2 linked regions of the Elephas maximus indicus genome follow. The protein of the gene in region 1 purifies or fractionates together with the protein of each later gene. This does not show direct contact. Links are inferred from orthologs where the notes say so. Each region holds a gene or a part of one and is shown in the gene's direction. Other genes may lie near its edges.

Region 1 (7,104 bases):
CAAATCATCTGCTACAGACAGAGGGGAAGGGTATGCTTATATACCCAAGAAAAGTCCCACAGTGTTTATAATTTAACAACAGGACCTAACAGTATATTGTGATTTCAAGGATCTTTTTCTAAAGCAAAGAGAAAAAACTCAGATCCAATTGACATTCAACTTCCCTAAGACACCAGCAGCCAAAAGAATGGGAACAGTAGAGCACTGGTTGCCAGCAGTATGGGCAGAAGAGGTGGGGGATCTAACTTTGAGGTGGGGATCTCCTGGGAGCTGAAAGCAGGTGCAAAACATGCAAAAATTTTGCTAAGCAACTAAGAAACAAGAGGAGACTCCTATCTCCTCCTCGGAATTCAAGTTCACAGGGTGTTTAAAAATAATCTACCCTGATGATGCTGCCATCTTCTCGGCTTTGGTTTGTTACACAGCATAGTAGTTTTCAGTTTGCTAAAACTGACTAAAATCTTCAGAGGACTTAGACCAAGGGCAGCCAAGTTTTATTGATTTGTGTTTGTTTTATAAAGGCTGGCGAACTGGCTTTTCAACTCATTAAGACAACGAAACTAAAAACCAGCCCTTTGTTAACAAGGGCACAGGTGGAATGTGATGAACACGAGGAGGGAATTTTTATGGAAAGGATAACAAAAATTAAAGGTGGAAGTTGAAAGGCAAGGAGAACAGAAAAGGGAGAGAGTGTAGATGATCAGTGATTTACCAGCTTTACCAGAGCACAACCAGCGCCTCGAAAAGCCAGTCTCCTCATTATGTCTGAAGGCCAAGTGCAGCCAGTGGGAGAAGGCAGGGCTTTAGAAGTGCTGATTCAATGTTAGTATATTCAAAACTGAAAGAGAAGAACAAGGCAGAGAAAGGGGAAATACAAAGGAAGGGTCAGAAGGAGTAAAAATGAGTACGAGTAGATAGAAAACATTCAAATAGAACTGCTAGAGAAAGAGAACTGAGCTGGAGAAAACAGGTGTATCGGTTCTCTCGCACCTACTAAACTGCTGCAAAGGCTTAGGCTCTAACAGTACCTGCCCTCTCTTCTATTTTAAGCCAAATGCTTTTCATCTACTAAAGGTGCCTCCCATGGAACAAGCGGTCGGTCGCATGCCCCTTCGCTCACACGGAACAACTGTCAAGTCCCGACTGAAGTGTGCCTTCCTAACTGCTCCCTAGTCAAGAAGAGCAGAGTTCAATCACAGAGCCGCAATGGACTGTGAACACGTATCAGAGACTTGCATGTGACACAGAGTTTTGGCAAGCTGGAACAAACTGAGAATGCTCCATGTGAGCAAAGGGTCTGGAAAACTCCTTCCCCCTCAAAAATTCAAAATATGGCAACATTTCTTTCTACAAGTCCTATCAGCATTTGAGAGACACCATCTACGGTTTTACCAAGGTTAAACAAAAAATGCCTTCAACCATTTTGGCAGAAGTTCAAAATTCTATAAATAGTCCAGTGAAAACCAAAAAACATAAATGACTGGAGTGTGTGAATACATATCATGCAAGAATCAAAAATCCTCCAATCATTAATTTATTTAATAAAACAAGAAAAAGACGCAACTTAAGAATAAGTTCCAAATATTTTCTTACCCAAAGATCACATTTTAAAATGTATTTTGAGAGTTTGACAAGAAAGGCAGTGGGGTGAGGTGGGAGGAGCAACAGGACCTGCACTCAGAAGACCTGGATTGGAGCTGAAGGTCTTCCGCCTCAAATTATGTTTGACGTTGGCTGGGTCACAACCTCTCAGGTCTGTTTCCTCACCTCTAAAATGAGAACAGTAAGGCATGCAGTTCTTCCTTGGATTACTGTGACAGGGAAATGATACTATGTATGTTCAAAACACAACAAAAATGTTAAGTTTCAACTCTAAGATTGCATGGTGCCTTGGCACAGAAACTGTCATATTCTTTTTTGTGGCCCCGGCCTACAGAATAGTATTTGGTGCTCAATTTATCTTTTTTATTACAAGTGCCCTTAAGAGGGACCTTGGAAAAAAAAAGTTTACTTTGGCAGTTTAAAAGGCCTGTGAGCATTCCATAACCAATTCTTTTTCCATGAAGAGGAAAGAAAGAGATTCTGGAGCTCAATTCCAAGTTTTAAGATGGCTTTAATTCCACAAACCTGACAACCAACGATTAATTTACAGTGGACAGTAAACAGGAATAACTTTACAAAGTACAAACTGGGAGACTACTTACTCAGTACAGGCAAACGGTGTATTTTGACAATCTATAAACTTCTTGGTACTCTCCTGTATTTCTAGTGCTACTCAGCACGTAGATACAAACTTAAAACAAAAAGCTCAAAGGAAACAAAAAACCACCCATAATCCTACTTCCCAGAGTAAATCATCCTTAACGTTGGTGTTCAGAGCTTTTTGTTTTATTCTATGCCTTTGTTGGCCGTTATGTAATTTTTTTAAACAAAAGTGATAAACTGTACATATTATTTTGCTGCCTGTGCTTTAACTTAGAGAAAATTCTTCCAAGTCAACATTCTTCTCCAGGATGTTTGATGGTTTGACAACAATCTATCAAACAGATATACCACAATTTACTAACCTTGGGGATTTTGGTAAATTATGAACATTTGAAGTATTTTGTAACTCCCAAAGCCAAAGTGGCTAAGCCCCTTCCATCCATCCACAACACGTATTTGTTACTGTTTTAATCCGAAATACCTTCTTGAAAAAAAACTTTCCAATCTTCGGTTTTGGATCTTAAAATACCTGCAATCTGTTAACAAGTAATAAGGCAAAAATAACACTACTCTTAAATTTGTAGTGAATCGTATTTGCTTCTGAATTATATTTGTGGAAAAGTGCACCAGTAAGTGGAAAAAATTACCTAAAATAATTTTTGAGAAGCCCTAGTTTGTCGGAAAATAAGTTAAAGTTTTACGCCAACGCCTGTTTCTATAACTACAATAAGAACTTGTAAATACAATACTGTGTATCTGTGATTTGCTTTTCAGGATTCCTTCTGTATTTCTGCCACCCTTTCTCTCCTTTTAAATCACAAACATAGTCCACATAGTAACAAAATTACCCTTCTCTTTCAGTAGAACATTTTAAGAGATGGAAAAATATTAAAAGCCTGGAATGTACACAGTTCCAAAAGCCCGATTTTTTGTGATATTGCAGACGAGACAATTATCTGGCCTCTACTATAAATACAAATCCCATTGACAAAAACACTCGGTCTGAACACGGTCATCTGGAAAGCGTGTGAAAACAAACAAACAAAATCATTGAGCGTTAGTGTCCGAATCATCCAAAAAAAAAAAAAAAGCGGGCCTGGCCGGCGGAGGAAATGGGGACTTTGCCGACCTGTCACTGGTACGAGGGACTAGGGAAACGTTGACAGCTTGGAGCTATCCCGCGGCCAGCGCTCGGCCAGCCCCGGGGCGGGAAAGAAGGGCGCGGGCAGTACCCGGGCCGCGGCGCGCCTTTGTCCCGGCCGGCAGGTGCGGCCAAGCCGCGGGGCCGGTCCCCAAGCCCCGCCGCGCCCCGCCCCGCGCGCCCGGCCCGACCGGCGCGTCCCCACGGCCGGGGCGGGGCCTCCGCCGCTGCTCCCGCCCGCCCGGGCCCACACAAAGGCCCGGCAGCCGGCCGAGGGGAAGCGGCCCCGCCCGACCCGAGCCCGGCCTTACCCCGCCGCTCCGCCGCCTGCAGCCCCGGCCGCCGACCGCCGCGCCCCGCCCCGTGGCCGCCACGGCTGCTGCTATTGCTCCTCCGGCCGCGGCCGCTGCCGTCGCTCCAGCACCCGCCGCCCTCGCCGCCCTCACCCCTCCCGGTGCCGCCGCAAAGCCAGCTCCGCGGTCGCCAAGCGAGCCCGGCTCTGCGCGACAGTGCATGCGCGCGCACGCGGGGCGGCGGCGGCGCGCTTTACGGCGGCAGCGTGAATACGTGACGTTTGGGCCAGGCCTCAGTTCGCACGTGGCGGCGGCGGAGAGAGGTTGTTGTCGCTGCTGCCATTGTCGTCCCCGCCGCCAGTATGAAGCGGCCGAGTGAGTGGAGGCGGAGGGCGGGCGGGGTTGGAGTAATTCCTGTCTCTGGTGGTCTCTGAAGCTGCCTGGGCGCTCTTCTGCAGCGGCTTGGTCTGCGGTGGCGTACGGGTAGGCCGGGACCTGCGTAGAACCGAGGGTTGGAAGGCCTCACGTCGATACTGCGGATCCGCGGGCTCCTGGTGCAGAAGGCAGGCTGGCTCCGAGGGCGAAAGTCTCGTGAGGCAATACTGTCTGAGCCAACTTTTAGGTCCAGCTTTTTCGCATCCGCGGCCACGTGCAGAGCGGCCCTGTGGGAGAGCTGAGAGCCACCCTCCAAACGTATCGCTGCCCTCCTGCCTTGTGATAGGTGGTGTTTGATGCGAAATGGCTATTTTGAGTCTCCTGCTCTGGTGTGAGATCCCAGTCTAACTTGGGAAGACATTAACGGGGAACTTGGGCCCCAGTCCATACCTATTGCATCAAATTATTTGAATGATATATGCTTTTCTTAAGGACCCCACGTGGGTCTTAGCACAAGAAGAGTTAGACCTATAGCGCAGTTACCAAAAAAACTATGCAGACAAATCATTGGTTTTCAACCCTTTTGCGATGTTTCTTTATAGAGTTGAAGAAAGCAAGTAAACGCATGACCTGCCATAAGCGGTATAAAATCCAAAAAAAGGTGGGTATTGTGCTTGGGGGAGCTATATCATTGAACTGCTTTCTGCGGATCTCTCATCTCGGCGGGAAGTCTGGGTTAACATGATTGAGACTTAGGAGATGGGGGTTGGAGAATAAGCTCTTAGGCAGCAGGAGCAGGGCTGTAGAAAGATGCATTTATTGGGTAATCAAGTCTGTAAACTTCACCTTTCAATAATCTTTGTAAAGAGGTGGAGAAATAGAGCCTGGTGGTGGCTTTTTGTCAGTGCCCCCCCCCCCACTCCTCTTGCTGCCCCTTTATACTTTGGTATGCATGTTCTAACGATCTCTGGTGGTGCAGTGGTCAAACGCAAAAGATCCACAGCTCAAAGGCACCAGCACCTTTTCGGCAGAGAGATGTGGCCGTCTGCTTCTGTCAACAGCCTCGGAAGCCCTGTGGGCAGTTGCGTTCTGTCCTGTAGAGTCGCTTTCGACTTGACATAATGGGTTTATATATGCATTTTGTATGATTCTAATTAAAGCTCCCTTTTTCTATGTCATTTTATAGGGGTCACTAAACTGTAGCTAGATGGGTTTCTCACATGAATTTTGTTTGAGCGGGAAAGTATTTTTGTAAACTCTATATATTCAATATAATAGGTACGGGAGCACCATCGAAAATTGAGAAAGGAAGCCAAAAAACGGGGTCGCAAGAAGCCTAGGAAAGATCCAGGAGTTCCAAACAGTGCTCCCTTTAAGGAGGCTCTTCTTCGGGAAGCTGAGCTAAGAAAACAGCGGGTAAGGTGTTTATTGAAGCTTTGAAGAAATAGTGTGGGTATATGTACTTTTTTCAAAGTAAGGTAACAACACCAAGTCACTTTGCCTCACCCATTTCTCTTATGAATTGGACACAGCTTGAAGAACTAAAACAGCAGCAGAAACTTGACAGACAGAAGGAACAGGAAAAGAAAAGAAAACTTGAAACTCAGCCTGCTGTTGAGCCATCTAGTGGGGAACCTGTAAAGGAGGTATGACCAGGTCTTGTGAGCGAGAGGTAGCGTTCTGATGGAGAAGCAAAAGCACGTACATGGGGTGGGGGTGCTATGCCTCATGGCGGGGAGCGGGGGTGAGTTCAGATTCTGGCATACCTACCTATACTATCAAATGCAGGGCCTATTACCAGCCATGGGAAATGCAAACACAGGTTACAACTGCTGTACTTCTAATTTGATGTCTTTTCCCCCTTGTCTTTATTTTTTAGGAACTTGGGCAAGGCAAAGCAAAGAACAAAGCCAAGTTGGGCAAACAGAGTCCAAAGAAATCATATTGTCAGGAACTTAAAAAGGTATTTTAGTTTAGGTCTGTGTCTAAAAACAGTAATGAGTTTAAGAGACTAGTCGCTCCTCTTTCCTAACCCTGGCATCAACCTTGTAAAAGTGGAAGTAGAGCTCCCTTGAGCTGAAGAATCCTTCAGGCTGGCTTATCCCATTTAGGGCCTTTCCTGTTAGGTTTAGTTAAAGGAAATATTCTTCCTTGGTTATAAATTTTTGCACAGGTGCATGGGGAGCAGTTCACCATAAATATAGTTTATAAAAATAGTGTTTCACGTTAATGTGTTGACACAGCAGTTTAAAGATTGAAGAAAGTACACAAAAATAGTGTGAAAATAAGACTCTTGAAAGTGCTTTGCTGAAACCCAAGTGAAGGAAGTCAACTGAAGTCAGAAGTGTCTTTTAGGTGTAGTAGCTCCTCAGCACTCCCATCCCTAACCACAGCCCCCCGCCCCCCCATAGGTGGACAGACCCTGGTGACTATGCTCCTCAACACTTCTAGGGCTTATCAGACTACATCATTCACTATGGGAAGATTGTACATTCAGTTAGGAGTATTTTCCACTTTTGAAATTCATTTCGATGAGGACCCTGAGCAAGCCTATGTATTTTCTTGTGTGAGAAATGATGACATATAAACATTCTTCATACCCAAGTGAAGACATGAGATCCAACTCTGAGCTCACCATGCTACAAAGTGGATAATGCCAACACGTTTCTGTTAAGGGTGTTCCTGGAGCAGGAGAAGTGATGTGTTTCTGCCTTGACAGGTGATTGAGGCCTCAGATGTTGTGCTAGAGGTGTTGGATGCCAGAGACCCGCTTGGTTGCAGGTGTCCCCAGGTAGAAGAGGCCATTGTCCAAGGTGGACAGAAAAGACTAGTACTTGTGTTAAATAAATCAGGTGAGTGAAACGAATGCCCTTTGTCTTGCGTGTGCACTGGCGAGGTATGAGGAAAATATGTGAACAGTCTGATTGTCAGTGAAGACTGATAAGATCCAACTCTGACCTCAGAGCCAGTGCACGTGGTAACTGGTTGCCAAAGCAGTTTACAACAACTGATTGGGCTGGTTTCTACTGTTCTTTTGTGATTCAGTGGTTACCACCTTGTCTTTTTTAAGAGTGTAAGCTCCTCTACCCA
Region 2 (7,529 bases), on another chromosome or scaffold:
CTCGAGTTGAAATACTGAAGGATTCTATGGCCAAAATAATGAATGACACAGGAAGCATCATAAGAAGATGGAAGGAATACACAGTCACTGTACCAAAAAGAATTGGTTGACATTCCACCATTTCAGGAGGTAGCATATGATCAAGAATCAATGGTACTGAAGGAAGAAGTCCAAGCTGCACTGAAAACACTGGCATAAAACAAGGCTCCAGGAATTGATGGAATACCAATTTAGATGTTTCAACAAACAGATGGAGCGCTGAAGGTGCCGACTCATCTATGCCAAGAAATTTGGAAGACAGCTACCTGGCCAACGAACTGGAAGAGATCCATATTTGTACCCATTTCAAAGAAAGGTGATCCAACAGAATGTGGAAATTATCAAACGATACCATTAATATCACATGCAAATAAAATTTTGCTGAAGATAATTCAAAAATGCAGCAGTACCTTAATAGGGAACTGCCAGAAATTCCAGTGAGATTCAGAAGAGGATGTGGAACGAGGGTTATCACTGCTGATGTCAGATGGATCTTGGCTGAAAGCAGACAATACCAGAAAGATGCTTACCTGTATTTTATTGACTATGCAAAGGCATTCAACTGTGTGGATCATAACAAATTATGGATGACATTGCGAAGAATGGGAATTCCAGAGCACTTAATTGTGCTCATGCAGAACCCGTGCATAGACCAAGAGGTAGTCATTCCAACAGAACAAGAGGATACTGAGTGGTTTAAAATCAGGAGAGGTGTGCGTCAGGGTTGTGCCCTTTCATCATACCTTTTCAATCTGTATGCTGAGCAAATAATCTGAGAAACCAGGTTATATGAAGAACATGGCATCAGGATTAGAGACTCATTAGCCACCTGCAATATGCAGATGACAACCTTGCCTGCTGAAAGAGAAGAGGACTTGAAGCACTTACTGATGAAGATGAAAGACTACAGCCTACAGTATGGATTACACCTCAACATAAAGAAAACAAAAATCTTCACAACTGGACAAATAAAGTAACATCATGTCAAATGGAGAAAAGTTTGAAGTTGCCAAGGATTTCATTTTACTTGGATCCACAATCAACAGCCATGGAAGCAGTGGTCAAGAAATCAAAAGACGCATTGCATTGGGCAAACTGGCTGCAAAAGACCTCTTTAAAGTATTGAAAAGCAAAGATGTCGCCTTGAGGACTAAAGTGTGCCTGACCCAAGCCATGGTGTTTTCAATCACCTCATATGCATGGAAAGCTGGACAATGAATAAGGAAGACAGAAGAATTGACACTTTTAAATTGTGGTGTTGGTGAAGAATATTGAATATACCATGGACTGCAAAAAGAACAAACAGATCTGTCTTGGAAGAAGTACAACCAGAATGCTTCTTAGAAGGGATGGCAAGGCTACGTATCATGCACTTTGGACATGTTATCAGAAGGTATCAGTCCCTGGAGAAGCACATCATGCTTGTTAGAGGGTCAGTGAAAAAGAGGAAGACTCTCAACAAGATGGATTGACACAGTGGCTGCAACAATGGGCTCAAGCATAGCAACGACTGTGAAGACAATGCAGGACTGGGCAGTGTTTTGCTCTGTTGTGCGTAGGGTTGCTAAGAGCTGGAACCAACTCAACAGCACCTAACAACAACAACAACATGGGGCTGCAGTCAGATAGATGGCAGGAGGGACTGGAACATCCCAAATGGCTTCACTTGCAGGTCTTGTACTTTAACGTATATTAGATGGCTGTAAGGATGGGCTCAGCTTGGACACTGGGAAAGGTAGACCTCTGCCCCTCTCCATGTGGTCTCTCCAGCAGAGTAGCTGAACTTCCAAAGCAACTCAAGGCTCTCAATAATGCAAAAGGCTGAAGCCTAGAGCTGGCAGAGAATCATATTCTGGTTAAAGCTTGGTTTAGAACACTTAGGGTAAGTCACAGAACCAGCCCAGTCAAACGTGCGGAAGAGCAGGGGACTAACAAGGCCATGATACGAGGAGGCACAGACCACTAGCGGCCTTCTTTGGAAACTAGCTACCATAGGTGATTCCATGATACCAAGGCCCTTAACATTTCCATTTCTTCCTGCCACTGTGAGCACTCACAAACACAACATGACTGGATGTTCTGTCTGGAAAGATCATTCTGGCAATGGAGAGGAAGACGGCTAGGAGAAGGGGAAACCAAAGGTTTTGCGAAAGTACACTTTGGTGGTGAAGACCTGAAGCAGGCAAGGAGCGGTGGGCTCAGTGAGCAGTCTGCGGGGAGGGGACAGGTGGTCTGTAACGTCACAGGGTGTGGAGACGCCATCTGGGGCAGGGTTAGGAAGCACGGGGGAGGGCAATGGGAGAGAGGAAGCCAAAGGAATATTTGTGGCATTTAGGCCATAATCACATTTAATTGTTAGCATTCGTAACATACTAGTTGAAGTGCACTTTTCTACAGTCATCAGCAAACTATTTCAGCACAGCTACTTCACAGCAAGAGGATGTGAATCTAACCCAAATATGACTAATTAACTTTGAGCCCAGTGGGTGACTCTCTAGTTTTTTATATCCTGACCTAATACACAGAAATGTGTGCATATATATATATATGTATATGTACCAGAATATACCAGTTGTCATGGCAACCCCAGGTGTTTCAGAGTAGAACTTACTGTGATCTTTCAAAAGCAGATCACCAGGCCTTTCTTCCGAGGCACTCTGGGTATATTTGAAAACTTTGCACCACCCAGGGACTCCTTTGTATGTATGTAAGTGTATACACATACATACATATACACATATATACATTTGTATGACTGCTGAGACAAAAGTTTTCCAAATCACTATCCCTTACTCTATTCTCTTTAATCTTTTTTTTTTTTTTTTTTAATGCTGGCCATGACTGAGTAAATTAATTCTGCAATCCATTAATGGACTCTGACTTCTGGTTTGAAAATCTCAGCCCCAGTAAAGAAACACCTGAAACTCCAGGAAGATTTTGGATGAAGTATAGAAGTAATACACTAAATTAAAGTCACTGCATTAATATTCTCCACTACATTTTGGAATCATCTATTTAATTTGCTATTTTAAGTATCTATTTTATACATTTTTTTTATACGGCTTAAGAGAATTTAACATACCGGATTATGTAATAATCCATTTTTGCAACTCCATTCTAAAATGTGAAATAAACTAATTCAGACTCGTGATAAATTGGTAAACACACAGAATGCAAACATTTCAAAAGCAATATTGAGATTATGAAGTTTTAAAAATCACTGCCCATATTTTTAAGTTTCATGGGTTCTGTTTGTCAAGTAACTTAATCGCTTAAGAAGAAAATAAATGTCTTATATTTATAAATGCAGTCTAATTGTGGGAACTTCAAATTATTAAGTTCCCTTGAAATTATTATTTAAATTCACCAGGAAACTTGCTACTTACGGGACGATTTATAACTCTAAAATTAACTATTAAAGCCAGAGTAATTTCAAAACAGACTTCTGCGTGCCCAAAAGCCTCCCTGGAGTACGGGAAAGCAGCTCGCCTCACTCGGATGTGAAGAATCTAGGACCGTCCACGCGGGCGAGCAACACGTGGCTCTGCAAAAGGAGCTGGGGAGCAGGAAACCGTCCCAGCAACAAGTGGTATGGTCTTTTCTACTTTACTGCCACCCTCATTAAAAGCAACAATAATAAGTTTACAATTGCTTTTTAAACATAAAAAAAAAAAAAAACCCCAAGAGGCACGTTTCTTGCAGGGTCTACGCCGGCTGGCCCCAAACCCGGTTCCAGTCCCGGGAAGGAGGAAAAGGTGCGCGGCCTGCGGGGCTTGGGGGGCGGGCTGGGGGAGGGAGAGTCGCCCCTGAAGGGCAGGCGGGTACGGAGAGCCCTGCGGGACGTGGAAGGAGGGGTATGGGATCCAAGACCACCCGTGGAGCCCAGAGCGGGCTCCGCCACCGTTTCTGTAGGGATGGTCGCCACGCCCCATGCAGTGCAGCCCACACCTATTTCACAGAGCTCTGCTGCCTGTAACTTATATGATCAAAACATGAAGAACCTGGACTGTTATCCAGAAAAAAGCGCTTTTGCGGCCTGCAGCGCCCGGCCTCACCCCGCTCAGCCCCGGCAACCGCACCAGCCCGCTGCAGCAAGGCCGGAAAAGGCCGGCTACCCCTTGGCGCCACTCTCCCCACACGCCGCCCTCGCCCTCTAGGCGATACCATCCCAGATGCACCCCTCCGGAGGACCCGAAATGGTGCCGTCCTCGGCCTCTGATTGGCTGACTCGGCGAGGGCGTGGCCTCCGGGGCCAGGTTCCGCGCGCTGGAGCCCGCTCGCCGCATTGCGAGCCGGGCAAGGAGCGAGCGCCATGGTGAGGGCTGGTTGTGGGTTGCGGGCGAGGCGAAGGCCGTGGCCTGGGCCCAGGCTTTGGCGCGGACCTAGGCCCAGCCGGTGTCTGCCTTGGGATCGGGGGCCCGGCGAACGCTGGGCCCGCGCTGATGCTCGAGCCCCGGCTTCCGTTCCAGGTGCTGCTGCACGTGCTGTTTGAGCACGCGGTCGGCTACGCGCTGTTGGCGGTAAAGGAGGTGGAGGAGATCAGCTTGCTGCTGCCGCAGGTGAGTGGAACCGGTGAGTTCGGCAGCCGGAGGGGCTGCAGCGCGGTCGGGCGAGTCCCCAGCGCAGGCCCCAGCATGCACCGCGCGTTCCCACGTGGTCGGCTGTGTGGAGTGGGGGTGGGGAACGGGCCTGGAGAGCTGTAGAGCCAGGGTCCTCGCCTTGGTTCATGACAAGAATAACTTTAGGAGCTTTTTTAGATAAGCCATTTCTTTTCCATTACGGACTAAAGCAGAACCTTGAGAGATGGAGCCCAGGCATCCCTGTGTTTTAAAAGCTTTCTAGGTGGTTCTTGGATGTGTCCAAGCCTGAGAACCTCGGCTTCACTGCGGTTTAGAGTCAAAATAGTCAAAGAGTGTCGGAAGGAAACCGCTCATCCTGTTTCTCCCACCCCAGGTGGAGGAGTGCGTGCTCAATCTGGGCAAGTTCCACAACATCGTTCGTCTCGTGGCCTTTTGTCCCTTCGCCTCCTCCCACGTTGCCTTGGAAAATGCCAACGCCGTGTCCGAAGGTGAATTGGCCACCCCGAAGTTTTAGGGGAGATAGGATATGTGATTCCTGCTGCAGTTCTCTTGGGGGATTTGTGATAAAAAAAAACGAAATGCTGTCATATTTAAAGCTATCTCTAGAATCGAGATTTTGTTTTCTTACGAGCATTGGGGTGGTAAATAATTCTTAAATGAAATCTTGGGTGGGTGGGGGACCCCGGTTTAAAGCCCATTTGTGCCCGAAGCTTGCCTAAACCCAGTCACCTGAAGGGTTCCCTGCTGCATCATTCATGTAGTTGAATACATGTAAGCCAAGAAGACTGTTCTGAAACAGTTGTGGTCCCAGGAGACAAATAAGATACTTGCTGCTTTTATCATGCTGGAGCTTGTGTTTTAAGCTTTATTTGTATATTCCAAACTGGTGCTGTTGGACCTGAGCCCTGTTCCTCCCCTAGTTGAGCCAGGCTTTGCAGTGATGACTTGTGTCTGTCAATCCCCTGAGTGCAGTCACTGATGTCTCCATGTCTCTGAGCAATGCCTGAAGGGGGAGGGTGCCTAGGCATGGCATCCCAGCATGCTCTGCAGAACCAGTTTAAGATCCGCTATCACTTAATCAGCTCTGTAACAAGACAGGATCCCTTCTATACTTTAAATGTCCTAAAGCATGTTAGTAAGCGGTGTTTTTTTACCTGGAGGTGTTGTTCATGAGGATCTTCGCCTGTTCTTGGAGACATACCTGCCATCCAAAAAAAAGAAAGTAGTCTTGGGAGTTGGGGACCCCAAGATTGGTGCTGCTATACAGGAGGAGTTAGGGTACAACTGCCAGACTGGAGGTGTGATAGCTGAGATCCTGCGAGGTGAGAACATCTGTGGCACTTATGCCATTCTTGACAAACTTGGCCGGCGGGGGAGGGGGGTGGCGTCCTGAAGGTGCTTAAGATTACTTCTGGAGGCCTTGCTTGCCTGATGGGTGCGGAGCTAGCTCAGGCCCTTTCCATGCTCATAGCCCTACCCTTCTCCAGGAATTCGCCTGCACTTCCATAATCTGGTGAAGGGTCTGACTGACCTGTCTGCTTGTAAAGCTCAGCTTGGTCTGGGACACAGCTACTCTCGTGCCAAAGTTAAGTTTAATGTGAACCGGGTGGACAATATGATCATTCAGTCCATTAGCCTTCTGGACCAGCTGGATAAAGACATCAATACCTTCTCTATGCGTGTCAGGTAAAGTACAGGGGCAGTCCCAGAAAGTGGGGTCTTTGGCCTGTAGTTTAGCTAATTTTGAATCCTTAGATCAGGTCTGGGAAGAACCAGGTGGGGAAGGGGTTTGGCCTCCTTGTGCTTACCACAGGCTGTGTTTTTGCACTGACTGTATAGAAAGGGGAGGCAGATAAAGTACCCCATATACACCTCAGCCCAGGCCTTGTGCCTGGTTTGTATTGTGAATGGGGCAACATGGCATTGAGGAGGCTTTAAATCTGACTGGTCCCATTTTTTCCAGACATGTAGTAGATAAGGGGAGATGTGGTAGCTGGTCTAGGGAGTGACTGTGGCTCCTTGCAGGGAGTGGTATGGCTATCACTTTCCGGAGCTGGTGAAGATTGTCAATGACAATGCCACGTACTGCCGCCTTGCCCAATTCATTGGAAACCGCAAAGAGCTGAACGAAGACAAGTTGGAGAAGCTGGAGGAACTGACTATGGACGGGGCCAAGGCCAAGGCCATTCTAGATGCCTCACGGTCTTCCATGGGTCAGTGCAGAGCCTGGCAGCCAGGTGTAACGTGTGGGGCTTTGAATGTCTGGTTCCTGCATTCACATTTGGTGTTCTCTAGGCATGGACATATCTGCCATCGACTTGATAAACATCGAGAGCTTCTCCAGCCGAGTGGTGTCTCTATCAGAATACCGCCAGAGCTTACATACTTACCTGCGCTCCAAGATGAGCCAAGTAGCCCCCAGCTTGTCAGCTCTCATTGGGGAAGCGGTATGTCATGGGGGGCTCGGGAATGTTACCATGTAAGTCTGCGCTGCTGTATTTTCTGACTTGCCATATCTTCCCTAGTTGTGCATGATGGGGAGGAGGTAAGCAGGGATTATGTAATTCTTAGGTCAGCAGTTTCAGCTTCTGACTTCTTTGTGTCTTTCTCCAGGTAGGTGCACGTCTCATTGCACATGCTGGCAGCCTCACCAACCTGGCCAAGTATCCAGCATCCACAGTGCAGATCCTTGGGGCAGAAAAAGCCCTGTTCAGGTACCAGTGAGGGCACCTGCCCACTTCAGGTGCCACTTCTGGTGCCCACTACTTGTTTGGGTATCACAGTGATGGCTGACCAGGGCCCCTGACCTATACAGACCTCTGCTATGGGGGTGATGGCCAGTCCTGGTGTCTGAGTGATTCCCAGGGCCCAGCAAAAGGGACCAAGCTTCCAGGTCAGCGACATTGATGC

What was found.
Region 2: the proteins of GNL3 (region 1) and NOP56 purify together in Homo sapiens (affinity purification with mass spectrometry; 4 studies listed by BioGRID and IntAct, with this or other methods). This does not show direct contact. The link is inferred for Elephas maximus indicus from reciprocal best matches to the Homo sapiens genes GNL3 and NOP56.

What each region holds. Positions count from the first base shown.
Region 1 is NC_064838.1:56,889,699-56,896,802, forward strand, and holds the start of GNL3 (guanine nucleotide-binding protein-like 3), read left to right. Parts: upstream 1-3,904; 5' UTR 3,905-4,001; coding exon 4,002-4,014; intron 4,015-4,616; coding exon 4,617-4,675; intron 4,676-5,292; coding exon 5,293-5,430; intron 5,431-5,546; coding exon 5,547-5,660; intron 5,661-5,893; coding exon 5,894-5,977; intron 5,978-6,582; exon of another isoform or gene 6,583-6,656; intron 6,657-6,733; coding exon 6,734-6,866; intron 6,867-6,907; exon of another isoform or gene 6,908-6,981; intron 6,982-7,104. Other genes in the region: PBRM1 (protein polybromo-1), read right to left, coding at 3,658-3,861. UniProt on the Homo sapiens protein: May be required to maintain the proliferative capacity of stem cells. Stabilizes MDM2 by preventing its ubiquitination, and hence proteasomal degradation.
Region 2 is NC_064843.1:41,254,654-41,262,182, forward strand, and holds the start of NOP56 (nucleolar protein 56), read left to right. Parts: upstream 1-4,278; 5' UTR 4,279-4,351; coding exon 4,352-4,354; intron 4,355-4,508; coding exon 4,509-4,598; intron 4,599-4,992; coding exon 4,993-5,107; intron 5,108-5,551; exon of another isoform or gene 5,552-5,619; intron 5,620-5,779; coding exon 5,780-5,941; intron 5,942-6,106; coding exon 6,107-6,305; intron 6,306-6,410; exon of another isoform or gene 6,411-6,540; intron 6,541-6,644; coding exon 6,645-6,832; intron 6,833-6,914; coding exon 6,915-7,066; intron 7,067-7,232; coding exon 7,233-7,333; intron 7,334-7,394; exon of another isoform or gene 7,395-7,479; intron 7,480-7,529. UniProt on the Homo sapiens protein: Involved in the early to middle stages of 60S ribosomal subunit biogenesis. Required for the biogenesis of box C/D snoRNAs such U3, U8 and U14 snoRNAs. Part of the small subunit (SSU) processome, first precursor of the small eukaryotic ribosomal subunit.